Linked DNA regions of Lonchura striata. The protein of the gene in region 1 purifies or fractionates together with the protein of each later gene. This does not show direct contact. Links are inferred from orthologs where the notes say so. Each region holds a gene or a part of one and is shown on either strand. Other genes may lie near its edges.

The links.
Region 2: the proteins of ENO1 (region 1) and TPI1 fractionate together in Homo sapiens (co-fractionation; 4 studies listed by BioGRID, with this or other methods). This does not show direct contact. The link is inferred for Lonchura striata from reciprocal best matches to the Homo sapiens genes ENO1 and TPI1.

What each region holds. Positions count from the first base shown.
Region 1 is NC_134626.1:1,238,506-1,255,019, forward strand, and holds the start of ENO1 (alpha-enolase), read right to left. Parts: upstream 6,692-16,514; 5' UTR 6,589-6,691; intron 3,319-6,588; 5' UTR 3,310-3,318; coding exon 3,225-3,309; intron 1,925-3,224; coding exon 1,829-1,924; intron 1-1,828. UniProt on the Homo sapiens protein: Glycolytic enzyme the catalyzes the conversion of 2-phosphoglycerate to phosphoenolpyruvate. In addition to glycolysis, involved in various processes such as growth control, hypoxia tolerance and allergic responses.
Region 2 is NC_134604.1:29,738,850-29,754,428, forward strand, and holds TPI1 (triosephosphate isomerase), read left to right. Parts: upstream 1-6,963; 5' UTR 6,964-7,050; coding exon 7,051-7,162; intron 7,163-7,807; coding exon 7,808-7,931; intron 7,932-8,006; coding exon 8,007-8,091; intron 8,092-8,217; coding exon 8,218-8,350; intron 8,351-8,459; coding exon 8,460-8,545; intron 8,546-8,671; coding exon 8,672-8,759; intron 8,760-9,027; coding exon 9,028-9,146; 3' UTR 9,147-9,597; downstream 9,598-15,579. Other genes in the region: USP5 (ubiquitin carboxyl-terminal hydrolase 5), read left to right, coding at 753-834, 1,054-1,179, 1,619-1,772, 2,157-2,331, 3,676-3,764, 3,960-4,151, 4,690-4,833, 4,987-5,132 and 3 more; LRRC23 (leucine-rich repeat-containing protein 23), read left to right, coding at 13,161-13,241, 13,316-13,428, 14,244-14,497, 14,581-14,711. UniProt on the Homo sapiens protein: Triosephosphate isomerase is an extremely efficient metabolic enzyme that catalyzes the interconversion between dihydroxyacetone phosphate (DHAP) and D-glyceraldehyde-3-phosphate (G3P) in glycolysis and gluconeogenesis.

The DNA.
Region 1 (16,514 bases):
AGAAGCAAAATGGAGTCAAGGCGCAGGTGACAACTCGCAGCCAACCCCACAGGAATGCAGCAGAGGACACAGAGGCACCAGGCTGGCACTGAGCACTAGAGACAAAGGGCTCAAAGAGCAGAGGAAGCTGTGCAAGGCTCTGTGTGGGCTCTCCACCCAGCTCTCCAACTCTGCCATCACAAACCTCAAGGGCCTGAACCACAGCTTTTCAGGAAGGTTTTAGGATGGGCTCCCCTGCCAACTCAGAGAACCCAGGAGTGAGGGGAGGGAAAAGGTTTCTCTAGAAGTTACTCATGCAACAGCTCAGGCATTTCACTACCTGTTACAGGTTCACTATTTTGTAACACTGCTGTAGCATCACTTTATTTACTGTGCAGTGTTTGAAGACTTCCAAAAACCTAAGCTTCAGAATGATGAATGCTATTTGACTGCATCCTAAACAATACTAATTGCTTTTCCAAGTGGTCCAAGTCTGCAGACCTCTATTACAAAAGGCCTAACAGCTATCTGCAACTCTTCCATTTGATGATTATTTTTTCATAACTCATGTTATTTCCCAGCTGACAAAGCCCTTCAGCCACAGCCTGTTAACTACAGTGTAATTAAATGTCATTAAGAACTGTCCATAGGATCAGACTTAACAGGTCTAAGCACACACATTTAGCACAGAGGGGTAAATACACATTTACTCTTTGCAAGAAAAAGTGCCCTGGGTAAAGAGCATTAAGAGCCTCAGGTTTTTTGGGACATTCAGTCATCCAGGCATTTATTCTCTGTTAAGGTATTAACAGCCATGAATCTCCTAAGACAAGGCTCTCCAAGTTCAATTTAGTTATCCACTTTAATTGCTCTTTCCTAATAGGCAAAAAATATTTCAGCTTCTTTTCACCTGCCTGGCAGGGAAGTTCAAAAATAATTCTCTCTTCCAGCCAGAAGTCAAGATGATTGCTCACACTTCAGAGGCATCACCAGTGCTTTTAGAGCAGCCAGTTAAGAAGAAGCCCTGACTGTCCAAGCTCTCAGAATAATCACAAGAAGTACTACTGGGATGTTTATTAGGTAATGACATCTTGTTTGCAGCTATTCCTTCTCACCCATACTTGTTCCCAAGCCAGCCTGGTGACTGCTGGGTTTAGTTCTTTTCAGAATCCACAGCCAGTCTCCAGACAAGTAAAATATTACACCACCAACACAAACTTAAGTATCCTGGCTACCTGTAATGGCAGACAAAAAGCCAGAGTGACTGAAGCCACTGTGAGGTCTGAAATAGAGGCACCTTCCAGGACTAGCAGTGCAGAGCTGCACATCCACAGTGGACAGAGCTGGCATGAAACCCCAGGTTCAGGACTGAACAAGCTGGGATCTAAGGAGTCTGCAGTCTCAGAGCTGACAGATTTAAGGGCTCTGGGAAAATTCGGGCTATGAAAAGACCTTGTGACTAACTGCAGGATGACTGAGGCTGTTGGAGCTGGCAGTTTAGATGCCCTTACAGCACTGGCAAAGCACTCTGCCACACTTCCACACACAGTGCAAGAGGAGGGGGTAACAAAGTACAGCTGGACACACTGTACCAGACATTATCACCCGGCTGGGCGTGCCCAGCTCCACACACCCACCCGTGCAGCTGCCCTGCCCTGCAGCACGACGCAGCTGCACTGCTGGAGGCAGCCACCCTCCAGGTTATGGCCAGGAAAGCAACCCAGCCACTCTGCTCTGCCTGTGGCCAGCTCACAGCCCACGCTGCTGCCACTCCCTGCCTGTCCCCTCTGCCCAGCTGCCAGCACAGACAGCAGGACAGGAGCCCAGCAGTGACAGGGACCAGCTTTACCTTTGCCCATGTAGCGTGTCTTGTCATTGTCACGGAGCTCCAGGGCCTCATAGATTCCAGTTGAGGCACCACTGGGAACAGCAGCTCTGAACAGACCTGTTCACAACAGGAAAAAACACCTTGGCACACTCGAACCACTAAACATCCCCAGCCAGACACCATCCCAGCCTGTCACACACTTCCAGCCCTGCAGCTGCGAGAGGGAGTCTCCAAACCACACCTCTGCTCACATACACACTGATCCCACAAGGGCTTTCTGCTCATTTACAGCATCACCAATTTATCAGCATCTCCCTCACGCTGATCAACAGCAACCTGACTCCTCCTCCACTATGCATTTCAAGAGTTAAGGAAGGCATCCATCCCCCTTCCAGAAAGGATAGCTGAATTCACTGCATCTGCCTTTGAGCTCAGGCAAGGCAAGCTCCTAAGTTCTTCTAGGATATGGCAGAAAAGGGACAATTAGGAGACCTATTTTGCTAACAGGAGTCCTGAGCTCTTCTGACAACAGCAGAGCCACTCAGCCAGCCCATTCCTTCAGCCAAGGATGCTGAACTTGGAGCAAATTTGCACACTGGAGCCTGCTCTGGGGTTCAGGATGCCAACTTCAACCTTCAGTCTTTCCCTTATCCCACTAAATCAAAGAGCTTAGTGGAGGCAGTCTCATTAAATGACTGTATTAATCTTTTGAGGCAGAAAGATCAGCTCTTTAGTCAGTGTATTACAGCCATTGTGTTTGCTCATTCCACCAAATCACATTGGTATGAGGTTGCACAATGCTTTTGTCAGATCCCATCAGATGTGGGATGAACAACTAACAAACCAAGGGAAAGTCCTACAGTAATTAAAAATATAAGATGTTACATGTGAAAGCCCAATTAGACAAGTTCTTTAGTCATGCCTGAGTACTTAGGCAGAGGAGAAACCATTACCAAAAATTCAACTGTGCAGCAGCAAACTCTGTCATTAGAGAAAGCCACTGCAGACAAATTAAGAATTAAACTGCAAGTGTACTCATATCGTGGGGAGCACTGACAACCAGGGCCATGAGCAGCTGCTCCAGAACAGAGCTTCCAGGTGCTATCCCAGTTTATGCTGGGGCAAGGGAAGGAGGGCAGGTTTGGAACAGCTCTCCCACAGTTTAGGCTGTAAGAAGCAGCACCCTCCAAAAAACCCTGCACTGTCCATGCCAGGAACTCGAGCTCGGCAAACTCATCCAACAGAATGAGGCAGAGGCTTTTTCTGCAAGACTCACAGCAAGTTCCAACAAGTTTTATGTGTGGAGGAAGAAGTCAGCACACTTCCACTGCTAGAACAGGACAGGTTCTATGCTTCTGCCTGCCTGGGGTTCTATCAGCTCTAAGCCAGGGATGAACAGCTGCAGCTGAGGACTCACCTTTGTTGGTGTAGAGGTCTACCTCAACAGTGGGGTTGCCACGGGAGTCAAAGATTTCACGGGCATGGATCTTGGTGATAGACATCTTTAGTACCTGAAAAAAGGAGCTTAGAATTAGTCATTGAATGGTTTGGGTTGGAAGGGACCACAAAGCTCAACCCATCCCACACCCTGCCATGAGCAGTGACACTTTCCACCAGACCAGGCTGCTGGATGAGCCTCATGCAGCCTGGCCTGGAACATTCTCAGGGATGGGGCAGCCACAGCTTCTCTGGGCAAACTCTTCCAGTGTCCCATGACTTTTATTATTAAAAAAACAAAATCACTTCCTTATGTGCAAGGGACAATCTCTTGATGTTTCCAAATGACCTCAACTGCAGTATCATCAGACCCCAGACACAGCTGCAGGAGCAAATGACAAATCTAAAGGAACCTCACCACGTCAGAGCAGCAAAGAGCTCCCAAAACAGCAACTCTGCTATCTGTCAAGAGTTCTTTTTGCTAAGAGACCAGGGTGCAATAGCTCTCAGCATGCAGAGTGCTCTTAGTATGCACAGCACCTGCTCAGAGCCAAACGGAACCAATGACCAAAGAGAAGAAGCCACAGCTCATTAAAAACTTGCATTAATAGTTACACCCTGTTGAGAATTTACAGGAATATTTTTTCCTCTTAACTTTTTATCTTAAAAGGAAAAAAAAAATCCCCCTAGTCTTTTGGATACTTCTTTTTTCCCTTCTTACATTTATCCACTTCAGAAAAGTGCAGCCAGGGAATTCTTATGTAAGCCCAGGCACATTTTAAAAATCAAGTCATACACATGCCTGTAAGCCATCGACTGGCACCAAACCCAGCCCATCTGCACAGAAGAAAGCTCAGCCTCAGAAGCACAACTATCTGGAAGCTGGTTTCTTGGCAAGCCAATGTGGGTGGCAACCCTGTTTACAGAAATGGTCATGAATCCTTCCACAGTTACTGCAAAGTTAAAAAAACATGACCTTAGAAATGCTGCTGCTGGTTCACAGTCTGTGAGGGGGTAGTTGCACACTCTTGTTCCTCCCCCACAGCAAACTCTGCCCTCCCCAGGTCAAAAGCACAGGCAACCTTTGCTTCCCCCCTTTTGGCTTTCCCTGTCCCTTCCAGCTGTCCTGCCCCTGCGTGCTGTCTAAGATTTCAGTCAGACCCCCACACTGACACATGATCTGACTAAAATATGAAACAAGACAGCTTCTTCAAGCTGACCTTCATGCTGCCACTACCTAGCTTCAGTCAGTGAACACACAAGCTAGAAATAAATCCCTGCAAGTCTCTGCTTATCAGTCCCACCCACACTTAGCTCTCTGCAGATGCACCGAGCAATGGCTAACAGGAAGAATGCCCACTTATCCAAAAAGGCTTTCGGAGTTTATCACCTGCTAAACCTTACTTTCATTTTTAGAACCTTGGCTTTGCTACAGAATTTGAGGTGGCTCATTCTTTGAAAGCACAGCCAGTTTCCAGGACGTCTCAGTGCAGTGCTACAGCTGTTTGTTGACCTTCATGAAGGAGGCACTTCAGGAGCACACACTGCAAGAACTTCCACTGGGAATGCCTGTGAGGTCAGACATTACTCCATCCCTGACAAAGGACCACAAGTCCCTCCCTTCCCTGCAGAAAGAGGCATTTCACAGCACTGCATTACCCTAGAAATCCATGATGCTCCTTATGCAAACTCTCCACTCCTGTGTTCAAGAAACAATTCTCCCTTTGAGCTATAGGGTAAAACTGATGCTGTTTAGCTCACCACGATATATTCTGCCTCAATCAAATCAGTCAACTCATCCAGAACACAAGGGTCAGCCCGTGTGTGCACAGGTTTAACCACAGAAATGCTGACTGAAGGCAGAGAGGACAGCAGCACTGTCTGCTCAGACCTTTGTCCTGTGCCAAACACGCAAACAGCCCGGTGGTATTTAACGAGCACACTGCCTTAAACCTTTTCCTGCAGCATAATCTGCTGACAAGGTCACTGTCTCCCTTCAGGGGAAGCCACACACTCCAGCTTTCCTGGCCTGGCCTGCCCAGGAGCACCTAGAACCCCTGCCAGCTCTGAGGACCTTCTTCACTACAGCTCAAGTCTAAGAAATCACCACGTATTCCTCATCTGACCCTGCACAGGGAATGCAGTACTCTCAACTAGAGATCACTCCAATTGAAAATTATTTCCAAAGATGTTTTATAGGCAACCCTACTACCAAAATCTGTCCTTGTGAGCTATCTTGCAGCCACACTTCTCTAAAATCAATACAGGGTTAAGGCTGAGCACTGCAAGCATCTGAATGGAGATTTAAAAAGCAACACTAAAGTTTAGCCATAGAAATAACTGCCCTAGTGAGTGTCTTATTACAGGCATGCCACATTTATCAGTGGAAGCCTCTCTTGACACTTAAAGGTCCTTATGACCGTAACTCTCATACCACCAGTGCTCTGAAAAAAGCTGAGACCTTTGAGTGCACTCTATGAGATCCCAACGTATTAATTCCCCTGCCAAAGCTCTCCCTGAAACTGGACAAATGTGCACATTCCAACCCTGCTCCTCTCCACTCCACGGGGCATTAATCCACCTCTACAACATGATCCAACGGGTTCTGAAGGATGCAGACACGTTCAACCACTTTCTCTCTCTGCGTTTAGTAAGATGGAGGCCTGAAAGTGCGTTGGCTCAGCCTGTGGGCTTGGATGACAAACTTCAGTACTTCCTGCCGGCTCAGACAGCCACGGCCCTACCCTGTGACTCAGCAGGCAAGTAACGGAGCAGGAGAAAGCCCAGGGTCCTCTCTGGCAGCCCTGCACGAGGCAAGATGGTTAACAGGCAGCTCTTTATCCACACCTGCACATCCAGCTGCTGCTCCCCACCAACGCTGCCCTGGGGTAACCAGCACTTAAATACCCGCTAAGAGACCTCGGGCACAGATGCTAGCAAACGTTAAATATTTGAGATGGGAAGCTAAAGGACATCTACTAAAGAGGGGAAGGTCCAAATCACCACACGCAATCCGAGAGCTACTGTTAATGATTAAAAGAAAGAGGTTAAACGCTGTCTTTGAGGATGCCTTGACCCACCGCATCCCCCTGATTCTGCCCCCGCCTTGACCCACCGCATCCCCCCCGCTTTTAACCCCCACCCCCGCACACCGCCGGGGCTCAGGCCGCCGCAGGCCCTCCCTGCCCCGCCGGCGCTGCAGGGCCACACAGCAGCCTGCACCCCCGGGGACCACCGAGCCTCGGCCCGGCCGGGGCTCCGCGGCCGCTCCGAGGGGAGCGGATTCCCTCTCCGGAGAAGGGAAGCGCGGCCTCCGGGCCCGCGGGGCGAGCCGCCGCACTCACCGCTGTGCCGGCAGCCCCGCTCCGCAGCCCCGCCGCTGTCGCCGCCCCGGCTCCGACTGAGACCCAACGGCCCCGCGCGCACCCGCCTATAGCCGGCCTCGCGCGCAGGGCCCGCCCCGCGGCCGCGCCCATTGGCCAGCGCCGTCCCCCGCCGCGTCCCGATTGGCCGCGGCCGCCTCGCGCCAGCGGCGGGCTCGCGTGCGTGCGCTACGTGCGGCCGGGCCGGGGCCTCGTGGAAAATCCCCGCGCGAGGGGCGGGGCCGGCGCGGCGCATGCGGGCGGGGGGAGCGGGCGGGACCATGCGGAGCGGGCGCGGGGGGAGCCGTGAGGCGGGCATGGCGTGAGGGACGGGCGGCGCGGCTGGGCACCGGCACCGGCACCGGACACCCGCCTGTCCCGCAGCCCTGCCGTGGGCAGCCACATCTCACACTGCCCCAGCTTGCTGCGAGCCCCGTCCACCCTGGCCTTGGAGGCTTTCAGAGTTATCCTCCATCCAGAGTGCCATGGATGCCCTGTGCCTCACCACCCTCACAAGGAATTCCTTCCCAATCTCCAAACTAAAGCTGCCCTCTGTCAGTTTGAAGCTATTCCCCTTGTCCTGCCACTGCTCGCCCTGTGGGCAGTCCCTCCCCATCTCTCTAAGCTCCCCTCAGGCGCTGTAAGGCCAGGACAAGGGTTCTCTCTAGGCTGAACAATCCCAGTTCCCTCAGCCTTTCCTCACAATTGTGGCCAGTTCTGGGCTCTGCAGTGCAAGAAAGGCGAGGAATACTGGAGAGGGTCCATGGGGGCCACGAATTTGGGGTCGAGCATCTCCCTGATGAGGAGAGATGAGACAGCAGGGCTGGGGCTGGGTGGTCTGAGGAGACTGAGACGGTGTGGGAATAACGAGTAAACCTGGAAGGAGGAAGGCTGGAGCGGATGTGTGTGTTCCAGGAAAAGGTTAATTACAAGCACAATAAATATTCACTCTGATTTTGAAGTGAGTAACCATCACACTTCCTGGAGGGGAGAAGGAGCACTAAACGTGATGGCTGTGACAGCTCACACCAGTGTGCCAGCTGGAGCACAAACTTTTCTGAGTATGTAATAAGTTGGGCTGTGACACCTCACACCAGTGTGCCAGCAGGAGCACAAATTTTCCCGAGTGTGGAAAAGTTGGGCTGTGACACCTCACACCAGTGTGCCAGCAGGAGCACAAACTTTCCTGAGTGTTCTGGGATAGTGGAAGCTGTCCCTGCCCGTGTCAGGGCTGGGATGGTTGAGCTTTAAGGTCCCAGCAAGCCAAAGCATTCCGTGTTCTATCTGTGGGGATGTGGCAGTGCCAATTCACCCTGACTGCACCAACAAAGCTGTTTTATTGCTCACAGATCAGTGAAGTTCGTGGTGCTTCAGCCCTGCCTCGCCCTGTGCCGGATGTACCTTCTGGGCACATTTTTCTTTCCTTCCTGAGAACATCCCCTCGGGACAAGCTTAAAGTCTAATAAAGAGCAGAGGAAGTCTGCAGGATTGACCTTCCCGCTGGGACAGCAGCCTCTGCAGAGGGAGAAGTCCTGTGCCAGCCAGGCTGGTTTGTGACAGTGCCCCGTGTCCCCCATGCCCACTGCCTGTGGGGCTTTTGCCTTCCCTGCACATCCCTGTGGCTGCACAGCCATGAATCAGGTTGTACCCAGCTGAGATAAGGCACCACTGGGCAGGGAAAGCCCTTGGAATTAAGCTGTCACAGGTAGATAATTCTTTGAAGTGCCAGCCCCCCCAAACTGCACATTGTACCCCTTAGAGCTGTGTCCTTGGCAGCACTTTATCCTGCAGCCTCACCCTGCCCAGTGTGAGGGCATGAGAGGGGAACATTCCCTGTAAAAACACATTCCAGATGCTGGAAATCCTAAAGCTGCATTTTTATGCTGGTTAACTGCTGGATTAGAGATGCTTCACTATCTTTGCACTTTATAAAAGTGCCTTTATTGCCATGCAGGAAAATCACACAGAGGTGTCAAATCTTATAATGAGCTAAAGAAAATGGAACACAAGAAAGCCTGAGGCTGAGGGAAATTAAATATTGTAGTAGCCAGCAAAGGCTGATGCTGAAGTACAGCAGGGTGCTCTTTGGGGACAAAACGTTTTCTGAAAGGTCATAATTAGCCTGGTGGGAGGCAGAAGTGGGGTTTAAAGGAACCCCCTGCCCAGAGCACTGAGCTCTTGCCCTATTCCCATTCAACCAAACCAAAGCTGTGAGGGAGAAGTGGCTGTGGGAGACCAACCTAAACCCCTCCTTGTGAGAAAGAACCCAGAACTTGCCAGGAGGAGTTTAGGTCTTGTCCCCTGCCTCTCCCTCCTTCCCTTGTGGGCACAGGGGCAGCACAAAGCAGATTTCCTGGTCTGGAGCCTGGGCAATGAGCTGAGGGCTCCGAGGAGGTACAGCTGGGGACACGGGGCTGCAGGCAGCAGTGCCCAGGCACCCAGGAGCCTGGCACTGATCAGGTGCTGGTATAATTTTTTCCTGGATCAGCAGATTTAAACTCGCACTGTGCCATACGTGTTAAAATTAAACTCAGAGCTGATATTAAAAGTGCTGCTGCTCAGCTGTGTATCCTACCTGATTTTTCTTTTTGTCTTGCTTTAAAGAGCATCCCCAAGGCTATGAGATTTCTAGGAAGCAGAAATTTCTTTTGGAATCCAAGCTTGTTACCAGTATCAAATACTCAGTATACTCTTTAAGTATTTCATGGTTTGGAAGGGGCCTGTATGGCTAATGGGGTGGACCCTGGGGACAGAGAGTTTGGGGACACATAAAGCCAGTGCTCCCATTCAACAGCCCACACAGGAACACTCACACAGCAGAACTGCTGATGGAGCAGGGGGAAAAACCACTGGCACAGACCTGGCTCACAGGCATCCACCACCCAGAAATAGAGAGCGACTCTCAGGAGCAAAATCCCTCCGCTGCAAGGCCTCACATTCCCTGTGCTTTACAGGGAAAATTGGAGTGTGATAAATGTCAGTTTTTTGGTGGCTTGCAACACGCTGATGAGCACAGAAGCCAGCCAGGCCAGCCTTTCCCTGCCCTGTTTCGAGCAGTTGGGCAGGAGCCTTCTGAGCTCTGCAGAGTGTGAAATCACTGGTTCAGGCAGCTGAGGGTGCCAAGGCAGAGCAGAACCACCACAGATCAGAACTTGTTTGCGATGCATTCAAGTGCTAATAACCATTAGCAGCAGCAGGGCACATTCCAGGGCGTGAGCTTTCAGAGAGCCTTGAAGCACTTCCTGCACGCTCAGGGACTTCTCTCTCCCCCCAGTGCCTCCCACAACACCTGAAGATGTGCCTGGGTGGCTGCGTGAGCACCTCCCTCACCCGCTGCATCCGACACCTCTGCAAGTGCCAGCCTGTTTGTGTTCTGAGCAGGTTCCCTTGGCAGGGCAGCTCTGCATCTCAGGGAGCCAGGCTTTGCGACTCGCTTCAGTCCAGGTGGGACCTCCAGAGGGAAGCCACTGGATGCAGACGTGAGCACTCTGTCACTCAGATTTCTGCTCTTCATCCACCCTGCAGATCCTGGTGTTTTTACGGACCCTTCATTGGAAAGGTAATGGCAGAGTCTGACTAACGCTCTTTCTGGGTATCTATTAAATTGTGGAATGACTGTTTGAGATGTTTTCTTCCAGGCGTTCAGAACCTCCTCTGACTTTACATCCTTCTCCCCCACTTTTCATCCCATTTTTTGCAATGCCTTTGTCTCACAGCTTCACCCTGCAGCGAGGCACCTTTAGGCGCATGAATAGTGAAATGGCTGGAGGTGACAGACCTCATGGCTTTCTTAATGCTCTTACCTTCCAGCACTTCCAGCTTTCTTAATGCTCTTAACTTCCTGTCTTCATCATCCTGTCTTCTCCAGGGCTTTAGTGGAGGGCTGGTTGGTCCATACTGGTTAGAGTGGGTCTGTGTGCAGTTGTGTAGTGTGGCTCCACCATCAGCCTCCCTGAGTACACGAGGGCTGTGTGAGACCCTCGGGTACCAGGCAGGATATTCTGTACTACTGGAAATGCTAATTTAAATTTACAACTACCACATCCATCTTCAGGGCACAGGGAATGGTCATTTGGAAGGGAACCAATGCATGAATCAGGGGACTGATACCAAAGAGTACATTTCCCAGGAGCTGATGATCCGATACGGTGATTTGTAGGAGACTGAAAGCTTCTGAACCAGCTGGATATTAATTGCCAGGAACTCTGGATCCAAAGGCCATAGCTGCTTGTTGCAACCATGCTGAAACCATGCAGTAATTCTCTTTATGGAGGCCAGAGTGCAAGTCCTGCACTGCTTCTCACAGAGTGTCTGAGGCTCCTTGCTGAGCAGGGCCTTCCCCCTCTCTTTGAAATGTATTCCACTATAAAGGGGAAAGCAAGTTAGGAATTGATTTGCCATTAAGAAATTGTATTTGGTGTTTAGGATTGGGTTTTTTTTCTGAATGATAACACGAAGAAAAAAAAAAGAGTAGTCCAATAACAACTCATTTGTTTCCTTAATGGGTGCAAAATAGTTATGTAAAGCACAAGAGTTATCAAGCAGGATCCTCTTGCCACAGAACAGGTACAACACAGACAGAGAATTTAAATTTCCTTCATGTTGTCTTCCTGCCTTAAACATCAACCTCATTCTCATGGGAAACACTTCCAGCTCCCATCATCACTTTTAGCTCCTCAGAGTGCAGTGGCGAGGATGGACTGTGGGCACTTTGCTCCTTCTGAAAGTCCCTGCAATGACCTTGCCTGCAGAAAAAAACACTGCAGAGCTGAGCGAGCAAACACTGGGCCCTGATGACCTTGGGAAAGCAGGGACTGGGCCCTTGGTCACCGAAATGGCGTGCATCTGTCCCCAGTTTGGATCTCTGAATGCATCTCAGTGAGGTCTGCTTTGTTCATCAAAAGGAGCAGGCATGTCCCAGACATAAAACACAGCATCTCTCTCAAGGCTGGTTTGCTGCGTGGGCCTGAAAGGAAGTTCAAGGTGGTATCTGCTTGTAGTCACATTTCTTCCATTCCACCACTGCATCTCTTAATCCAAATCCACATCTGACTGCCTTCCCTACCTTCCACATCTATCAGCAATGTCCTCTGATGTTTTCAGAAAATCTCTGCTGAAGCTTTTTCCTCAAGCCGGGCCTCTGTCAAAGGATCTCTTCCAAAGCAGCTCTGGTCCTGCTGGGATCTCTCAGCTTCCCCCATCTTTCCCCCTCTTTTTCCTTGGATTTTTTTGCTCTTGGGAAAACAAGCACAACTCATCCCTCAGGTGTGGCCTCTTCATCAAGTGCTGAATGAGCTGCACCTTTCTGATCCCTTATCTCTCAGCTCCTTGCCTTGGGGCTGAAGGTCCTGCACTCTGGTCCTGCAGCAGGTTCTCCACGTGCCTGGAGAGCTGATTGCCATGCCTTTGGAGAGTGCTGTCCCCTCCTATGTGGACTTTTGGGATAGCTGCATTGCTGTGCCCTGTGAGCTGTGCAGGGTTAACAAATTTGTGCTTATACAGCTTTTTGAAGATGAAAAGTGCCATGGAAGGGCTCTGTTATTGTTACCACGTATGAAGAGGTCTGTACCAGACCCAACCGTATTGTGTTTGGCCACTGGATGTCACAGCTGCTCAACACACAATGCAGAAAGGGAAAGTGCTTAGCCAGCAATGAGCAGCAGCACTTTCCAGAGCCTTTTCTTGTTCTGTGCACTGTTTGTTTGTTTGTTAAGGGCCTTGGGGTCTTCTCCTTTGTTTGTGCACTGCTAATGTCTGTTCAGAGAGATGGAGCAGCAGTTGTGCTTCCCCTGCGTGCTGTAACACTGGGAGATGAGGAGCAAATGGAACATTTTTAGGGGAGCAGTGCAGATACCTACAAAGCACTAATTGCACCATGAACAGGTATTGGCACATGCTCCCAGGCTGTTATTTCTTCTCTGTCCCATCCAGTGCGCAGCTCAGAGCCCTGGGATGATGGAAACCTTTATCCAAGGTTTCTTTCTCATACAGCTCCTTTGATCCCCACACTCAGACCACATCCCAGTGCTCCTCACACACAATGCAGTGGCAAGTTTGGCCTCCCCCTTCCTAATCCTGCCTTCACGCTTTGCTTTCTTCCAAAGTCTCAAGCAGAGATCCAGAACGTGAAATCCCCTTTCAGCAAAGTCTGTAGAGCAGCCCTAAAGAGACATTACAAGGGCTGTAATGACATTTCCTGGAAATGAAAATGAAGAGGGATTATTTGACCATGTTCTCTCCTTTTTATAGCATCACATTGTCCTTTTCTCCACCTTGGGGAAATGGCAGTGAAAGGCTGCTCCTGCCCGTGGTGCAGTGAGGTGATAACCACCCCAGAAGTGATGTGAACATTAAAAAGGGAAAACTATTTTAAGATAATCCAAGGGTTACAGCTATAACTAAGAGTAATTGGCTGAAACTGAGCAAAAGAAAATTTAGGTTGACAATGAAGTGCAGGTAGCTAATGCTGAGATCTGTTAGACCATGAAATAGAATTCGCAGAGGAAACCTCTCTGCTTTTAAATGGGCAAATCCTGCCTTTAGGAGCACTGGTGTAGATGTCTGGTGTCTGTCTCTGACTGCCTCAAAGCCCATTTCTTCCACAAAGCTTCAGCAGAATCATAAAGGTGTCTGAATTTATATCAGAAGAAGGTAAGAAGGTGTCCCTGCCCATGGCAGAGGGTTGGACTAGATATATTCTTTAAGGCCCCTTCCAAACCAAACCATTCTGATTCCATGATTAAATTTAGTCAAATACATCAAAATATTGTATAAGATGAAGGAGGTCTAAAGGGATTGTGTGAACTGGAGAAATGAATTCCAGTGCTTTTCTGCCTCTGTGATCTCTGTATGTACTTGAAAACCAGGGGCAAAAAGGGAAGAAGAAAAAAAAGAGCCTGGGCAAAATATCAAAGAAAAGAGGGACAGTTTTGGAAATAAGATGTAGAAACATTAGAGGAATTGTTGAATAAAAGAATCTCGTGTTTCAATCCGCACAACTATTGTCAGCTTTCCTCATGGGTCTGGGCCTGCCAGCACTGGCTGATCTTTGCCTTTCATAAAACTTGTGTAGGCTCTGGATGCCTTCACTCATCCAGCACAACCTCAGCAGAGAGAGCTCTGTTTGAAGAGGTTTTAGACTCACTCAGAAAAACCTGCATGGCCTGATTGAAGGCACTCTGTCCATCTCACTTCAAACAGCCTGTTCCTGGTCAAATGTTTGCTGGGCTGGAGTGATGCAGCCCTTACTGCAAGCCCTGATGGAATTCCTGCTGATTCAGAGGCAGAGGAGTTAACCCTTTCAAGTTCTGGGTCAAAGGAGCACTGAGGTTTGAGCCAGCTACTTCAATGCCATATCAAGGTTTTAATGTGGCCACCAATACTCAAAATGTCAGGCTTGAGCTGAGCTTTAGGCCAGTGAGGACAGAGAGAATAGCCTGGGAGAAGCAGGATTTAAAAGATGGCAAAGAGTCAGGGGAAACTGTAGAGATGAAAGTGAAGTGCATGGAAGCCAACGATGTGGGATAAAAGGCTTATTTCCCACTGCAGTCAAGGTGGGAGGGGGAAGGCTGAGGTCTGTGTGAAAGTTCCCTGCCTCTGGAAATAACTCATGCCAAGAATATTCATGGCTGGCACACACGACATCAGATTTTCTCACTGGCTGAATCTCAGTGCAGAGATGAGTCCTGTGCCAGTCTCCTGTGAACCCCCAGCTCACCTCTGCTGTGCTGCCTGGAGTTCCCAGGCACTATGTCCATTCTTCTCTCCAGAAATTATGTCCAGGTAGCAAAAGAGCTGACCCACACAAGCCTCAGGACAACCAGGTTTAATACCACATACACTAAAAAAGCTCCAAGAACCAGTAACCACTGGTTGACATGAGCAATACTTTCTACAGGAGGACTTCCATAACATTCAGCTCTTAGTTAGAAGCTCAATATCCAAATTCATTTAAAGAACTTAATTAAAATTATTGTTCTGTCCTAACCCCAAAACAAATTCATGCTTTGTGCCCTTAGTAAATCCTTTCCACAGATTGCTGTGTCTTCATAGAATCACAGAATGGTTTGGCTTAGAAGGGACCTTAAAGACAAGAATTTGAGCTAACACAGATGTGGCTTTTGGGTGTGCTGAGCACCCACAGCCCCTGCTGATGTCAAGAGAAATGTCACAAATGTTGCAAAAGCTCCATTAAAAATTAATTTGCTGTCAACTCCCATTTCCGGGCATGAATGGGCTTTATTTCAAGTGCTTTGTGCAGACTGGGCTGGCTGATCAATAAAGCACAAGCAAGGGAAGCAGCTTGTCACTGTGTGACATCCATTCCCCTGCCCTGCAGGTGACAGCAGAGGTGCTCCAGCACAGAGGTGACCCCCTGTGCCTGGCTCTTCTTCACACCCTCCTGTGCTGCTGCGTGGAATCCTGAATTGCAAAGAGGTGTAAACCCCCAAAATTACACCCTCAGCTAATTTCAAAGCCTATTTACACAACTGGATACACAAGGATTAAGAAGTGCATTGCAGGGCAGGTTTGCTTAGTTTGGTCCTTACACAGTTCAGTGCAGCTGTCAGAATAAATGACTTCTTCAGAGGAGAGAAGGAAAAAACACATTTGGTTAATCAGCTCAATATTACAGCAGTTCCCAAAGATTAAATATGCACTGCACAAACCAGCAACCCTTTTTACGTTAACAATTCACTTGCAAAGAATAAGATTTTGAGTAAAATACCTGCTTCTGCTCTTCAGCACAGAAACCTGAGCTCCCATGGCACCTGTAGCTCACTTGTGCCTCTTACTGTTGAATTGCTGTTATTATTCATAGGATCACAGATTGAGCAAACTGCCTGTGCTGCAGCATCCTGGGGCCTGTCCTGCCCAAACTGCCCCAAATTGCCCCAAACTTCCCCAAACTGCCAGATCAGGTCTTGCCTTCTGTGCAGCACAGCCTGACCCTCACCCCCAGACTCACCTCAGCTGCTGCCACCTCGCTGAGTGGCTGAAAATCACCTTGCTCCTGAAAATAATTACCAATTTTATCACAAGTGGCAGGGACGCTGGGAACAGAAGTGCTGAGATTTCACTGATCTGACTTTTCTTGCTTCGTGTTTAATATTGCTGCATGTTCACCTAAAACAAACAGCCCAGCTATGCTGCTTTTGTTGGAATCTCTAATTCTTTTCCATAGAAGGTAAAAATTCCATTCCTGGGGAGGTTTCTGCTCCCCTTTTGTTTTGAAACCACGGGTCTAGGAGCTGGGGGCCACGGCTGGGAAGAAAGGGCTGCCAGCAGTGTGCCATTCCTGAGGGAGGAGGAGGAGGATTTTCAAAGGGAATGGCATTTGCCTGATGACAGGATAAAAAAAGGCAGGGAGAGAATCCAGGGTCTGTTCCCTGTTCTGTCAAATGACTTTTACTGGACCATAGACAAGTATTTGCTTGGGACACATTTTTGAGGAAATCAAGTGTCTGAAGAGACACAGAAGTCCACAGGAGCATTTAGACACCTGCCACCTGCTAGTTTTTATTTGAATTCCTGCATGTTTTTTGGAAAGCCATCAGGGTGTCAGTCTCTTGTATGGTGCCTGCACCTTTCAAGTCTAAGTAGTTTTTGAGAGCTCTGAATTTTTCAGAGGTTTCAAATCTCTCCCATTCAAAACTAGATTTTCAGTGATGAGGGAAGGTGTTGAAAGCAAAGTGATTTGAATGCTAAGGCTCAGGGGTGTGGAGTGCTTTTAAACCCAGTCTCTGATTTTCAGACCAGCTAAAGTGACTACAATTTTGATTTTAGTACGATTGTGAATGCTCTGCACTTTTTGAAATCCAGTCCTCTGAATGCTGTCTGCCTTGGTCTTTGCTCTGAGTAAAGGGAAGCAGCTCTGAGGTCTGGGCTGGATATTTCTGCTTACGAAG
Region 2 (15,579 bases), on another chromosome or scaffold:
TGTTTGTGCTGCAGCTGCTTTCAAACAAGCATGTGGAAGTTTGGGTGGGGAGGAATGGAAGGTAGCATTTGTGGACAAGGAGTTCAGTACAGAAGGATTCTAAATTTGGGCAGCCTGGAGTGAGGTGTTCACTGAGAGGGGATTAAGGTGAAAGAAAGATGATTGCCTGGGCAAAGGGTTTGGTAAGGTTTGGTTCCAGACAAATGGGAAGATGGCAGTAATGATGGGGAAGGACTGGAGTGAAATGTAATAGCAGAAGGGTCAGAGCATAGGAGTAAATCACTGAACACATACTGTTGTCCATTAAGTGCCTGATGCAGTCAATCTTTCCTGTGGGAAAACGTGATCAGTGTGCTCACAGCAGTGCTATTTCTGGCTCAGACAATTTCTCTGTGCCCGGTTGTCTCCTGCACAGTCAGACACTGCTCCATTCCCCCATCAGGCTGCAGCTCAGCTTGGCTGCTGCACAGCTGCCGTGTGGCTCAGCACCAGCTGTTCCTTCGTGTTCTAGTCAGTGTGCAAGCAGTGGTTGAGATTGGCACCCTAAAGCCCTGGTGACTTTGAAGTCAATGATGTCTCCAGGAGCCAGAGAGCAGACCACGATAAGATAATCTTGCCTGGTGCAGCAGAAAAAGCTGTTATCTGTGAGACTGACAGCCCATGGCAGTGTTAAATCTGGATGGGTTGATGTGGCTCCTGGAGCATGTGAGATTGAAGAAACATTGATGTTAACAGTGACTTTGTCATTCCAGAGCCAAACTTGGCCATGGACTGCTTTCTGGGGAGTATTCAAGGCCAGCTTCTGCAGATGGGGAACAACAGCCTGATCAGAAGGTGAGGCTTGGGTATGGCATCCTTTTGATGCATGTATTGCATGAGGTACTGTGTGTGCTACATGGCAAAGGAGGGAGAACCCTTTCTGAAGACATGTGCTGGGGCTTGTTGCAAGGCCTGTCACCTGAAGAAAAGCATGTCTAAGAATAGAGAGCTACCTGCCAGGACACATGCTTGGCAAATTATGACCACCTTCCTCTTCCACATTGTTCTTTGCAGGGTATGCAAAATGGCATTGCTCCACGCATGTTTAAGTCCCTCATTGGAAAGGGGCACCCAGAATTTTCCACTAACAGACAGCAAGATGCCCAGGAATTCTTTCTGCACTTCATCAACATGGTGGAGGTAATGGTTGAGTCTAACTGACAAATCACAGATAAGTCCAGCTTGATTTTCTTCATACAGCAAGGGGTGAGGAGTGGAGGTGAGAAGCTGGCAGTTGGAGCAGAGAGAGGGAAAGAACACAGGGAAATGGGCCATCTAGCACCTGCCAGGGTGGAGAAGGAGAGGTGCTTGGCCATGTTTTCAGAGCTGATTCCATGGAGAAGTCTTTTTTGGGAGTGGCACAGCTGGAGGTGTAAAGTTTCTTCTGTAGGAGTAGGAATGCCATGGCTTCCTGGAGTACAGAAGCTGGCTTTAGTTTCCTCTTTGCTGTCTTTTCCAGGGTACTGGGTACAGAAGTGAATCCTCTTCAGCCACATGCTGTGTGACATCACTGTTATTGCAGATAATTTTTTCTGCTATTCTGCTGTTACATCTGTCCTTCTAATTTCTCCTTCCTCAGAGGAACTGCCGCAGCTCGGAGAACCCTAACGAGGTCTTCCGTTTTCTGGTGGAGGAGAAGCTGAAGTGCCTGGCCACAGAAAAGGTGAAATACACCCAGCGTGTGGACTATATTATGCAGCTGCCTGTGCCCATGGATGCTGCACTCAACAAAGGTCAGTAATGTGCCTACACCAGAACAGTAGCAAGCCCTGTGTTTCTATATTATACTATTCTTACAGAGCTCCTTAAATGAGAAAGGGACTTCTTTGCCACTTCTGAGGCCAGGTCCTTCTCCTGCTTTTGTGGGATTGGGCTGATTCTTCAAAGGTGGTGTGACACGGATGTCCCTCTAGAGCCTCTCCCTCGGCCACCACAAGCTGGGCTGTGACTCAGCAGCAAACGAGGAGTGACTGCAGTGGCAGAGCTGTGCTCTGGAAGCTGTGCTCCGTGCTTGATGGCGTGTATCTATAGGCCTGCTCTGCCTCTGGGTGTAGCTTGCAGCAGTCGCTTTGTAGGTACCTAGAGGTGTTCCTTGACTCCCCTGCTTTATTCTCTAGATGAACTGCTGGAATATGAGGAGAAGAAGAGGCAGGCAGAGGAGGAGAAGCAGCCTCTGCCTGAGCTGGTGCGAGCCAAGGTGCCTTTCAGCTCCTGCCTAGAGGCCTATGGAGCTCCAGAGCAGGTGGATGATTTCTGGAGCACAGCCTTGCAGGCCAAGTCTGTGGCTCTCAAGTAAGTGTGTGTCAGCTAAGCTGTGATGAACTGGCCATAGCTGCTTCTCTGGGGACTTGTAGTGGCTTGGGGGAAGAACCATTATTGAAGCTTTGTAGTCCTCCACACCCTGGGCCCATAGAACATTGAAGCAGAGAGGGGATCAGTCCATCAGTGCTGGAGTGGTTACCCTCAGTAGGCAGAGCGGCAGTGCTAGTGGAGTCCAATTACAAACTCCCGCACTAGTCATCAGATTTCTCAGTTGCTGAGGGGCTATGAAAACACAGTGATATTTCAGAAAACTAGTAGTTGTTACTGTAAATTTAAAATTTATCTTTGAAATCTGCACTGACTGTATGATGACAATGATCTTACACTATGTCTAAAATTCCTTCAAGTTTTAAGCTGTGAAGATTTGAGCAGAACACTGAGTGTAACAGATGCATGAGTTCTTTGAAAGAATGCTAGTTTAAATGCTAGTAGCAAGGTTTAAAAACCAGATATAATTTTTCTCACTGCTTGTAGCACATGCAACAGTGCAAAGTTGAAGTGACAAAATTACAAATGTAAGCAGCTTTCTGCTGTGATGCTGAGTATTCTTTTGCAATGAAAGTCATGAAAGAGTTGGAAGGGCTTTTCTATACTCCATTATTAATGGATTAATTAATTAAATTATTAAATTCTCTACTATTAAGCAATAGCTACTATAAACAAATAACACATTGAAAAGTAACATTTTGTTTTAATTTTTACTGAGTTGTATTCAAACACTTTACTGTCACTTGATTTAGTTCTACAGCATCTTGCAATTATCACCTGGTAATGAGTATCTGTCTCACTTAGAAGTGCTTCTCCCTTCACAAACATTCCCGTCTGTTTCATAGCTTCCAGACACTTTCTCTCTCAAATTGTCTAACTAAAAAATGTTTTATTGAATTTGGTTAACTTAAAATTCACTGCTTCTGTTTCATATCCAAAAAAGCGCTCTTATGCTTGAAAGCTTGACAGTTCCTGCATGTTCTGTTGCTCTAATAAAAGATGTTATTTCCACTACATTCCTTAAGAGTTAGACTTCCAATTAAACAAAATCTGACCAGGTTTGTAAAATACAGGATTGGAAGGTAGAGCATATGTACAATTTTTTCTCATCTCCAAGATTTGCATTCCATCTCATCAGGGCTTCTGTCTTAGAAATAGTTCTGTGTTTGAGGAGCTTTAAGCTCAGTATAGAAGAACTGCACAGACAGGTGTGTCCCCCAACTTGCTCAGGACATGGTTCTGTCCTGCTCACTGATTTATTGGATCAGCTAGATACCCTTAGTCTTTGCTGACCAGGTATTTAAAAATATTACGTGTCTCTTTCAGAACAACACGGTTCGCCTCTTTCCCAGACTATCTGGTCATCCAGATCAAGAAGTTCACCTTTGGTCTGGACTGGGTGCCCAAAAAACTCGGTAAGGAGGATGAGAAGTACAGAGCATATAGGTACTGGGAGTCACATATGGATATTGTGGTCACTGCTGCCAGGAGGAAAGTGACTATCCCAAAAGTTGCTGCAGGCATCCCCAGGGACTTACCCTTCTAGATCTCCCAGCTGAGTCCTTTGCTTCTGCCCCTACGTGGAGGCTGAGCAAGACCATATCTTGCAGATGTTTCCATTGAAATGCCAGAGGAGCTGGATATCTCTGCACTGCAGGGAACGGGGCTGCAGGAAGGAGAGGAAGAAATGCCAGACATCGCACCCCCACTGGTGACACCAGATGAGCCCAAAGGTAGCCTGGGGTTCTATGGCAACGAGGACGACGACTCCTTCTGCTCCCCTCACTTCTCCTCTCCAACATGTTAGTGATTCTCCTCCTCTCTTCCTGATGCCTGACTCATTTCCTTGCTCTCCTTGCCTTGTGTCCCATGCTAGCAGTTTCCCACTTGCTCAGACTTTCCCTGTCCTTTTGTCAGCGATTGCCAGCTGCCTCCCTTGCATGCCTGTTATGCAAGGGTGTTATGCAAGGGGGTTTATTGATTCCTGTTCTGTGCAAGATGGGGTGGCGTGTCTGGTGCATTTAGAGGAGACAGAGCTGGGATTTATACAGCATTTAATTGGTAGGGGTATTTAATTTTTACAAACCACAGTGGGAGGTTGGGTTCAGAGCCTAGGGAAGAGCCAGTGCTCCTGAGTTCATGGGTTGAATCATTTTGTTCTTTGCCTGTGTGTGAGACTGCTCTTCTGAAGAAGAAAGGTGGCTGAGAAAAGCCATGAGATGGAAGGTGGTGTGAAATAAAGCTAGGAAGTGGTGGCTTTGGAGGCTGTGTGACATGAGACAAAATGGAGCCAGCAGGGATGGGTGGGAGTGGGTGGCTCTAACTTCTGTCTCCCCACAGCACCCATGCTGGATGAGTCGGTGATTATCCAGCTAGTGGAAATGGGCTTTCCCATGGATGCCTGCCGCAAAGCCGTGTATTACACAGGGAACAGTGGGGTTGAGGCGGCCATGAACTGGGTCATGTCACATATGGACGATCCAGGTATGAGGCCATGGGCATGGTGAAGCTTTCTGCTGCTTCTGGGCTGTTCTTGTGTCCTACTACCACAGTGGAAAACTGAAGTAGTTTGGACTTGGGCTGTACCCTCTTGGAGAGATCTGATTACTCGGAGCTGTGTTGTGTTTCCTGCTGCAGACTTTGCTAACCCATTAGTTCTCCCTGGATCCAGTGGGCCAGGGTCAACTATTGCCTGCCCAGACCCTCCTTCGGAAGACAGCGTGGCCACCATTGTCTCCATGGGCTTCTCCCGGGACCAGGCAATGAAAGCGCTTAGAGCCACGGTGAGAGGCATGGGTGACATCAGAGTGCAAGGATTTTCTCAGGAACAGGAATTCTCAAGTTCACTGTCGTCTTCTTCCTTCCAGAACAACAGTCTGGAGCGTGCTGTGGATTGGATCTTCAGTCACATCGATGACCTCGATGCAGAAGCTGCTATGGATATCTCAGAGGGGCGCTCGGCAGCCGAGTCCATCTCTGAATCCATCCCTGTGGGTCCCAAAGTCCGCGATGGGCCTGGAAGTGAGTTCCAAGCCATAGGAATGTGGATTTTGGGGTGCAAATTCAACATTGCTTTGTCATTCCTGATCCATGCAGTACTGCAGGTTTTAGCAGCAGCAGCTACTGCAGAGCTGGTCTGGTTGTAGAGGTGGAAGCAGGGAGGAGGAGGGAAGGTATGGCAAAGTAGTCTAGATCCTTCAGGCTGGATGAGTGTTAACCTGGAAGCCAATAAGAGAGAGGTTGGGGAAGGGCCATGAAGAGAAAGGAAGGGCTGTGCTGCTTTTGTCCAGTGGTTCTAGGAGGCTTTTTTTGCTCTCTTGGTTCCCACTGAAAAAAAGTAGTTCTGGTTTGTGCACAGAATTTGTGCCAGTGGTGCTTGGCTCCTGGGTGCCATAGGGAGGCAAAATCCCTGCCTTACCCATCCAGGAGCCATGGCCCAAATAGAAAGTTGGAAGAGACAAGTCTAAATGGAAGTCAGCATCTCCCATTTCCCTCTATGTCTGGCCTTAAGACCACTGACAGTCACACTTGACGGGGGATCCAGTTCTAAATTATTACCCAGCAGAGCCTCCTTCAGGGATCCTTCTCTAGAGAGGGCCTTGCAGAGGATGTTAGGGTGTAAGACATCTTTCCCTGACAATCCTCTCTTCCCTCCTTCTTTCAAGAATATCAGCTGTTTGCCTTCATCAGCCACATGGGCACTTCAACTATGTGTGGACATTATGTTTGTCACATCAAGAAAGATGGCAGGTAAGGATTTCCACAGTGTAAGGGAACTGAGGTACTGGTTTTAAATCCCCAGCCTGCCCTGTTTCTTCAGAAGTCTTGGGGGGTTGGGACTGAGAGCAGGCAATCGAGTTGTGTCTTAACCACGAATGGCATTCCTGAGCTCCTCTTACTCCTGTTGCAGGTGGGTGATCTACAACGACCAGAAAGTCTGTGCTTCTGAGAAGCCCCCCAAGGACCTGGGCTACATCTACTTCTATCAGCGGATTCCCAGCTAGAACATCCTCTTGCTGTGTGTGGTGGGGGGAAAGTGGGCTGAAGCTGTCGGGGGGGGAAAGGGGTGGGGGCAGTGAGGGTGGGAGCAGGGTCCTTCTCTTCTCTGCTGCTTTCCCCGGTCCCTTCACGGCCTCTCTGTGGAGACACGGGGATACAAGAGTTCACTGACTGATCGACTGGGGGCTGGAGCCCCCGTGGACATGAGTGAAGGGGGTTTGGGGGGTTGGGAATATCTGTTTCTGTAGGAAATGTCCTCACTGTCCCCACCCCCGTGCCACACAGCCCTAGTGCTTCGCTGCTTGGTGGGATGATGCCACCTCCTTGCTGTCCGGAAGGAGAGGAGGGGGCTCGTGTGTACGTGTGGCTTGTGAATGGGGGGGGTTCCTCCTGCCCGCCCTGTCGGGCGGGGGCGTGGGGCGGGCAGCAAGGCGGGCCACGGGCAGCGCTTCCCCTTGTGTGCCCTTGAGATGCCAAAATACACGAGGGACAAAATAAAAGCCGAAATTCCCCCCTGGCTCCTGTCTGAGCCCGCCTGGCCGCGGGAGCGCGCGGGCGGGGCGGGGCGGGGCGGGCCCGCGCGGGGCGGGGTGGGCGGGGCCTCGGCCGCCGCCGGGCTATAAAAGGGCGCCGGTCTCCGCGCCGCCGCCGCTGACCTTCGCGTCTCCTCCGCCGCCGGCCCCGCTCCCGCTCCCTCCCGCCATGGCGCCCAGGAAGTTCTTCGTGGGGGGCAATTGGAAGATGAACGGCGACAAGAAGAGCCTGGGCGAGCTCATCCACACGCTGAATAGCGCCAAGCTCTCCGCCGACACCGGTGAGGGCGCGGCCCGCACGTAGCGCACGTCCCACACGGCCCTGCGGAGCCGGGGACCGGGCCCGGGCCCGGGCGGGGGAGCGCCAAATGTCAGAGGGCGGCGGGGCCTAAATATAACCCCGCGGCTAAATATACTCGCGAAACCGGATCCGGGCTGCTGCGGGCCCGGCCGCCACGTGCGGCCGACCCCCGGGGACCCCGCGCGGCGGGCCCGGGCCTCCCCTCGGCCTGGCCCCCGCGCCCTGCGAGCGGCGGTCTCGCAGCACCGAGCTGCGCTGCGCCCGCCCCGCCGCCGCGCCCGGCTATACCCCCAGGCGCAGCCCGGTTCGGCCAGGCCAGGCTGCAGGGTGGGATTCTCACGCGATCGTTCATTTGGGCACTTCCCAAGGGACCCCTGTGAGCTGGCCGTCGGGCTGGTGTCGCCTGTCCAGCCCCCTAGAAAAGGCTTTCCTCCCTGCTGTTGAGTAATCGGATAGCGGGGATTGCCCTGTGGCAGAGGGGCCACCAAATGTCAGTGAGGAGGGGCAGGCTGTGCCTTCCCAGGAGAGAGGGATGACCCCTTGGGGCTGGGATTTGGGATCAGTGGCTGGGTACAGTTTCTGCCCTTTTCCTGTCACAAGGGTTACAAGGTGCTTTGCCTTGCAGAGGTGGTTTGTGGAGCCCCTGCCATCTACCTAGACTTTGCCCGTCAGAAGCTCGATGCAAAGATTGGCGTGGCAGCACAGAACTGTTATAAAGTACCAAAAGGAGCTTTCACAGGAGAGATCAGGTGAGCCCAGAGAATAAAGTTAGGGTGCCTCTGGGATGTGAACTTCCTCCAGTGAGTCATCTCCTTTCTCCCCAGCCCAGCAATGATCAAGGATATTGGAGCTGCATGGGTGATCCTCGGCCACTCAGAGCGAAGGCATGTTTTTGGAGAGTCTGATGAGGTGAGTGGCCTCATAGAATGGAGACATGGTCCAGTTACAATGGGTCTGCAAAGACTGAGAAAGTGAACAATTAAAACATACCTCCAACCTGTTTTATTGGCTGCCTTGTTTCTTTTCCGTTCCCAGCTGATTGGACAGAAGGTGGCTCATGCTCTGGCTGAGGGCCTTGGAGTCATTGCCTGTATTGGAGAGAAGCTGGATGAGCGAGAAGCTGGCATAACAGAGAAAGTGGTTTTTGAACAGACCAAGGCTATTGCTGGTAAGAGGAAAATGAAATGGTTGATTTGGTTTTTTTTTTAGCCATTTTCCAGCTCTGCTCTTCCCAGTATGGGGGTATTGTGCTTACCTCTACCTTCTCTCCTCCCTAGATAATGTGAAGGACTGGAGTAAAGTGGTTCTTGCCTATGAGCCAGTTTGGGCTATTGGAACTGGTAAAACTGCAACTCCCCAACAGGTATGAGCATGGGAGGTGCTGCTTAAAGGACCAACTGACCCTTCCCCCTCAGGAAACCTTGTCTTTGGAAGGGAACTGTGTGCAGAATGGCTCATGCCTCAGTGTGACTCCTGCGTTGTGTTGCAGGCTCAGGAAGTTCATGAGAAGCTGCGGGGGTGGCTGAAAAGCCACGTGTCTGATGCTGTTGCTCAGTCAACTAGGATTATCTATGGAGGTGAGTCTGGAGCGACTTTCCAGGGCAGGAAGTGCTTCATTTCTCTACCTGTTGCTGCAGTTGTACATAATTTCTTCCTGGCAAGGAAACTCTTGACTTTCAGGGCATAAAGAATCACCTTATAGCTTATTTGGGTAGCTTGCTTGGATAAATGGGAGAGTCTTGCTGTCTGTAAGAAGTGGCTGGTACCTTGCCAGTCCTGCCTTTGCTCTGGCCCCATTTTCCTAGAGCTGGCGCATCTGACCTTAAAACACTGCTCCCTCCTTAGGTTCTGTCACTGGCAGCAACTGTAAGGAGCTGGCCTCTCAGCATGATGTGGATGGCTTCCTTGTTGGTGGAGCTTCTCTCAAGCCAGAGTTTGTGGATATTATCAATGCCAAACACTGAAGCACCCCATGAGGAGCTGTCCCTTGTGGTAAAGAAGTGGAAGCAAGAAGGGACCTTTTGTTGCACACATCTCAGTACGGAGGCCTCCCTTGAGGCTTTCCCCCTCCACAGTCATTGTTCTAGATGTTCTGCTAACCACCCCCACCACGTCAGAGTCCTGTCTGCAGGAGCCTGTCTCGGCAGAGTCTTGACAAGTCTCCACTCTGAGCTGAATCCTCAGTTTCCTGTTGACCTGTTCAGAGCTCACAGCCCACCTGGCCAGTATCTCTCCCTTTCCCTGCAGCCCTGCAGGGACAGGGAGCCGCTGGTGCTGCGGGGAGGAAAAAGGAACCACAGTCTCTTGCATCCTTCAGCTCCATCAGCAAGGAATCTCTCAGCTTAGACCCTTGTGAGATGTCTTACCTCACCTGTGTCCCGTACTGAACAATAAATGAAAAACAGAAAAAGCAAAGGTGTGTCCTGGATCTTACTTGGAAGCATCTCGGGGACAAGCAGCATAGAGAACTTACTGCTTTTTGAGGTGGCTGGTTGCAGAGAGGGTTTTGTGGGCTTTTCCCTGAGAGCCCACCATTACTCCAGTAGGCACTACATGGGTTCAACCTGCATCTTGCTTCTGGCATATAACAGCTCTTCTTTGGGCCTGTGGTGATTTTGTTATATCTGTGTATCTATTCCAGTAGCTGCTGGAGCACCTGGCTGTTCCACCAGTGAGCCAGTCTTCCCTGGCAGGCTCAGTAATGTGCTCATCCATGCTCTTTGCCTGTAAGCCTGGTAATTGACTTTGCTCACTCAATGTAGAGTGGAGCAGCTCAGTCTCTGCAGGGAAGGATTTTATTTAGGCCCTGTGTTGGGGCAGTACTTGCTGCTTGCTTTCAGCCATGTGCTGGTGGGTGAGAAAGCAAGACTTGATGTTACTTCCCAGCTAGCTGCTGGGGTTTTTTTGGTAGTACTGAGGGTGATGAAAAAAAAGTGCCTTACAAGGAGGAGCTTATTTGTGAGGCAGTACATCCTTGGGAGCCTATGGACAGTGTTCCAGCTGCTAGTGCTAGCATCACTTGAGGGATAAGGGGCCAAGAGCTGAGGAGCAGGGAGGAAAAAGCCTCTGGTGCTGGGGGCGGTCCTGCTGCCTAGCTGGATGGGAGGGATCTTCCTAGGATATCAGGTGGTCTGAGAAGGACGGGCTTGACAGCAGCAAGGAGATGGCAGCTCCCAGCTCTGTATGTGTGTGGAGTGAAATAGAAAGAAGGAGGATGGTTCAAAGACAAAAAAAAAAAAAAAAAAAAAAAAGGCAAACTGAAAACTATATAACCAGAGCACATGTTTCTGAGAGACTGCTGGGCCATGGCTGTAGGTTGGGGCTGTTGGGTCATACAGACCAGAGCAGCAATGTTGCAGCAGGGGCACACGGTGATCCTAAGGCTGCAGGGACTGGGTACAATCACTCAGGGCTGGGCCACCACCCGCTGCAGCTCTGCTATCTGCTCCTGTTCCTGCCCAGCCCTGCCCACAGTACAAGAGCCCAGGAGAGTGACCTACATAGAAGAAAACAGATGGGAGCTGGCATTGATCTTACTGCTTTGAGAGAATTCAGGGGCATGAAAACATTCATTTAATGAGGAATAAACTCATGGAAAATAATTTCTGTATCAGCAGGAGTGCCAGATCTTGTTTCTCTTTTTTTTTTGTCTGCTTCCTGGCAGGACTGCAGCTCTCTGGAGTGGAAATACTGCCAGATCCTCACAGCAAACTGTAGTGGTTGGATCTTAAACAGGTTGCTGTTGGAGAAAAATGCACTGTGCCAGATGTAACAGCCTGAGAGAGGCTGCAATGGCTCCGCATCCCCAGCCCCAAACAATAACCAGGCTGAGCCTGTATTCCCAGTAGGCACCACACACATGCTGGACTCAATGATCCTTGTGGGTATCCCTTTAAACTCAGAATATTCTGTGACTTTGAATATATTGTACTTAAACACAGCCATGGCTGGCCACACAGATCCATCCACACAGAGCACTCCCACACAGCACTGACAGCCTCATCCCACGCCCTGCTCCAGCTGAGCAGGACAGAAGTGCGCTAGTGAGCGTCTGTGTCCATCTGTGTATTTACAGAAGAATTTACACTCGTGTACAGCAGGTCTCCTTCCAGCAGCTGCCTCAGGCAGTGCCCAGGAGCTGCCCCTCACTCCCAACCTCTCCAGCCCCCAGCAGCAGCTCCCTGTGGTGTTCTGACCACGAGTTCCTCATGCAGGGCAAAGTGCAGAAGGAGTTTAATGAGAAGATCTGACAGGCTGCGCTGATCAGGTGCAGGACATGGACAAATCATCACAAACCATTTACACAGGACTGGCCCTTTTTATTCCTGTGTGCTGTATTTGTTTCTCTGTGACCTAGGTCACCCTGGCTCCTGCCCTAATCACTCCCTAACGAGTCCTGTGCAATCCCCAAATGCTCTTCCCCTGCGTCTCATCCTGTCCCACACCCCTGAAGACAGTGACACCCCCAATGTTAAAGGTGCTCTGGGGCTGAGGCTCCCCTGGGATGGCACTGGACAGGGTGTTCTTTTCTCTGAGTCCTTAATTTGGGTTTCCACCTGCCACTGTGCCCCTCGAAATGGGCCTTTACTGGGCTGATGGCTCCTGGGACGGGCCTGGAAGCAGCCTGGCAGGTGCTGCTTGGGCTCCCCCTCCTGCCATCACCGCCTGTGCTCCTGTGTGGGTGTGCAGGCCAGGTTTTAGTACATACCCTCCTTAATTGTTGGTATAATTAGGTTTGGGATATAGAATCTAAACAAAAATTTTCTAGTTTAAAGATTCGTGTTTCTGTAATTAGGGGATGTTTAGGGCAGGAGGCAAAGGCAGGAAAGGAAGTGTTCATATGCAGATTAATGCTTTACTCTGAGGGTGGTGAGGCACTGGAACAGGTTGCCCGGAGGAGTTGTGGCTGCCCCATCCTTGGAGGTGCTCAAGGCTGGGTTGCACAGAGCCCTCAGCAACCTGGTCTAGAGGGTGGCATCCCTGCCTGTGACAGAGGGATTGAGACGAGCGGATTTTTGAGGTTACTTCCAATCCGAACCAATCTGTGGTTGTGTGGTAATGAGCAGGGAGTGAACTCAGATTCACATTCACATGTGTAGCACAGGAGAAGGGGTCAGCACTGGGGAGTCTAGCAGGACAAGGCAGGACGCAGCTTGCTGTGCAGCCCGGAGTGCAGGGGTGCTTTGCAGGAAGGGCGATAGCTGATGGTTGTGTGAGCAGCTCTGCTTGAAGCAGCTTACCTAGCGCTAATGTTACCCAGGCACTGCAAAGGAGCAAAGTGCACTGAAGGGAAAGAGCCTTGGACTTTGTATGAACTGCACAACACTGCTGACCATCAGCTCTGAGCCGCATTCCTGGCTGGTAAACACCCGGTGCTGTTGGCATGGGCTGGGCACGGGCAGCCTCAACCCTTCCCAGCCCCGCAGCCTGGAGGACAGGGCTGGAGCAGTGCACCCCAAAAACCCCTTCCTGTCATCCACGTGCTCATAATCGGGAGGCTTCATGCAAAGCTCAAGACTAATTCTGCTCAACATGTTAATTAAACATTTACTAGAGGGTAAATTAAGCGTTAATTAGGCATTCACCGCCCGAGTGCCCACCACCCTGCCTGACTTCGAACGGGCCCCGTTTTGAGCTGGGCGCGCACAGAGATCCCTTCCCACAGGGGAAATCCTGCCGTTGTGTGGATAGGCGGCCAGCGGCAGATGTCGCCCAGGCGGCAGGCGGAGCGGGATCGAGCTCTCCGGGCCCGCGTTGCGGGCGGGACGCGCCCCGAGCTCTCCGGGCCCGCGGTGCGGGCGGGACGCGCCCCGAGCTCTCCGCGCCCGCGGTGCGGGCGGGACGCGCCCCGAGCTCTCCGGGCCCGCGGTGCGGGCGGGACGCGCCCCGAGCTCTCCGCGCCCGCGGCGCTGCGGGCGGCGGGCCCGCCCCCGTTCCCGGGGCAGCGGCCGCGCCCCGGCCAGCGCGGCCCGCCCGGCATGGAGGACGAGGAGCTGGAGGAGGAGGGGAAGGAGGAGCACGGGGAGGAGAAGGAGGAGGATGAGGAGAAGGAAGAAGAGGTGAGGAGGAGGCTTTCAGCACCGCCCGGCTGCGGCTGGGCCAGCGCTGGCCTTGTGCTCTCCTTGTCTCCCAGGAGCCGGTTCCCTGTCCCCTGACGGAGGAACACCTCAAGGAGGGCCTCTCTCTCCTCAGTAAGACCAGCAACGGGCTGGCCCACGCCTATGTGAAGTTTGAAGCCAAAGACAAGTGAGTGTGCAGTGCCTGACCCGGCAGAAGCCCTTTCCTTACTCCATGGCCATGGAGTGTTGTGCTGGACCGGCCGTGCGGGGTAGGAGCGTGTCCAGGCCCTGCTCTCCAGCCCCTGCATTCCAGTCTGGGCTTCAGCACAGCCTGTCCATCCTCAGCCCTGGGCACTGCCTCCAGACACACCTCTGGGAACACCAGTGTGTCCTAAGCCTGCCCATCGCTCTGGACTGCGCTCTCCTAGGGGGGCCTGCACAGAGTGACCTCCCTTACAGGCACTTTGAGAAATACCCATTCACATCTGGCCTCCTAATTGCTAACCTTCAAGACAGGCAGCTCTAAGTACTGTGCCACAACAGCCTTGGAACAGTTTGGAGCCTCAGCCTCCCCAGCACAGCCACCCAACTAAGGCCCCATTAAGACTGTTTCTTTCAGCAGCCCCATAGGGTATCTCAACCACTATTTTTTCCACTAGAAAAGTCCTTCCACTCAATCCTTTGTGTTGACACTATTGTCTAACAGACCCCTCCCCAAAACTTACCCATTTCTCTGCTCTGGTTGTGCCCTGTCCTGACAGATACAATTTAATTGGAATAAATACTCCCTCTGCCAAGAAAGCATGTCCAGTCTTACCATTCATCTTTGCTTACAGGCCTGTCCCTATCACCTGCCGTTTTCTTCCTTCTCTCAGCAGAGCTTTCTAGCAGCAGGGAAGTAGGAGAGGTGGTTGCCCTTCCTCCAGTAGTGGCAAGGAGAAATCCAAAAGATGGTAGTGGGGAAATATGAGAGATATTTTATTCACATTCACTCTCCCTCAGGGGCCTGACAGACATCAGCCTCCTCGAACGCTTCATTCACCTGCGGTATGTGGATTTGTCGAAGAACAAGCTGAAAGATTTGGCCCCACTGAGCAGCCTAACCCAGCTGCTTTGGCTGAAGGTGGATGAGAATCTGCTCACCAGTGCCAGCATGCAGGAGCTGCCCTACCTCCAAGTCATCAGCTTTGATCGCAACCGCATCATGGATTTTGAGGGCCTTACTCACCCCCTCCTAGCCAACCTCAGCCTGAAAGGTGATACGGTCTACCTGTCTTGTGGGGACACTCTCTTGGAAAGGTGGGATTAACTCCTTGTTTCTTCTTCCTCTGGCACTCAGAAAATAAAATCGAGACAGTGCAGGGCCTGAGTCACGACCAGTTGTTCAGCCTGGAGGTCCTGGAGCTTCGAGGAAACAAGATAAAGACCACAGCAGGGCTCGGCGTTTCCAAGCTCAAGAAGCTCTATCTGGTAAGGGATCAGCCATCCTGGGGAGTGGGACAGACAGAGCTGCTGCAGAGCCCAGCCCCTGCAGCCCAGATAGCACAAAGGGAGTGGCCATGAACCACAAATCACAGAGGAGTCGATGTTGGGGGCATCAGGTTCTTCCCTCACAGCCTCCTGCAGGAGGGCAGCTTTCCTTTCAGGCAGTGTTGGGCAAGCTTGTATTCCGTGTGCCCTGGGACCACTGGAGATCACTGGGCAAGCAACAGCTTTGTTCTTTGGGTGGCGAAGGGAAGAAATGCCTCTTTCTCCTCTCTGAGGCCCTAATCAAATACTGGTTTAAAGCCAGCACAATTATGTGATTTACACCTACACCCGCCAAAAAATAAATAGATTCAATATTGCAGTGAAACTAAGACAGGAGAAGCAGATTCTTAATATCATAAACAATTACTTCAAGGAAGCATTTACTCCTAGAGATGCAAGTGAAGAAAGTATGTATGGCTTAGCCCCATGGATCACACTGTGCTACAGCTTGCAAAGACTAAACAGATGTCTTGAGTCACTACCTCTTGAAAAGCAATTAAAGATGATAAAGGCTTTGAAAAACTATGTGGTTTCTTTTCATCAAGATTCCCTGGCAGAAAACACTGAAGAGATTGCTTGCTGAGATCGTCTGCAATTTTCTGAAGGGAAACTGGGATTTTATGACTGGAGGTGCTCCAAGAATGGATGAAGTGGATAAGTCACTAGATACAATACAGAATTTCAAAGCTTACCCAGTCACCTTAGTGAGTTATTGCAGGGAAGCAAACAGACCATCTCTGCTGAGGGAAGGTTCCTGGCATGACTGAGGGGTTTCTGAGCTGCCATGTGAAACAGGAAAATTGCAAGG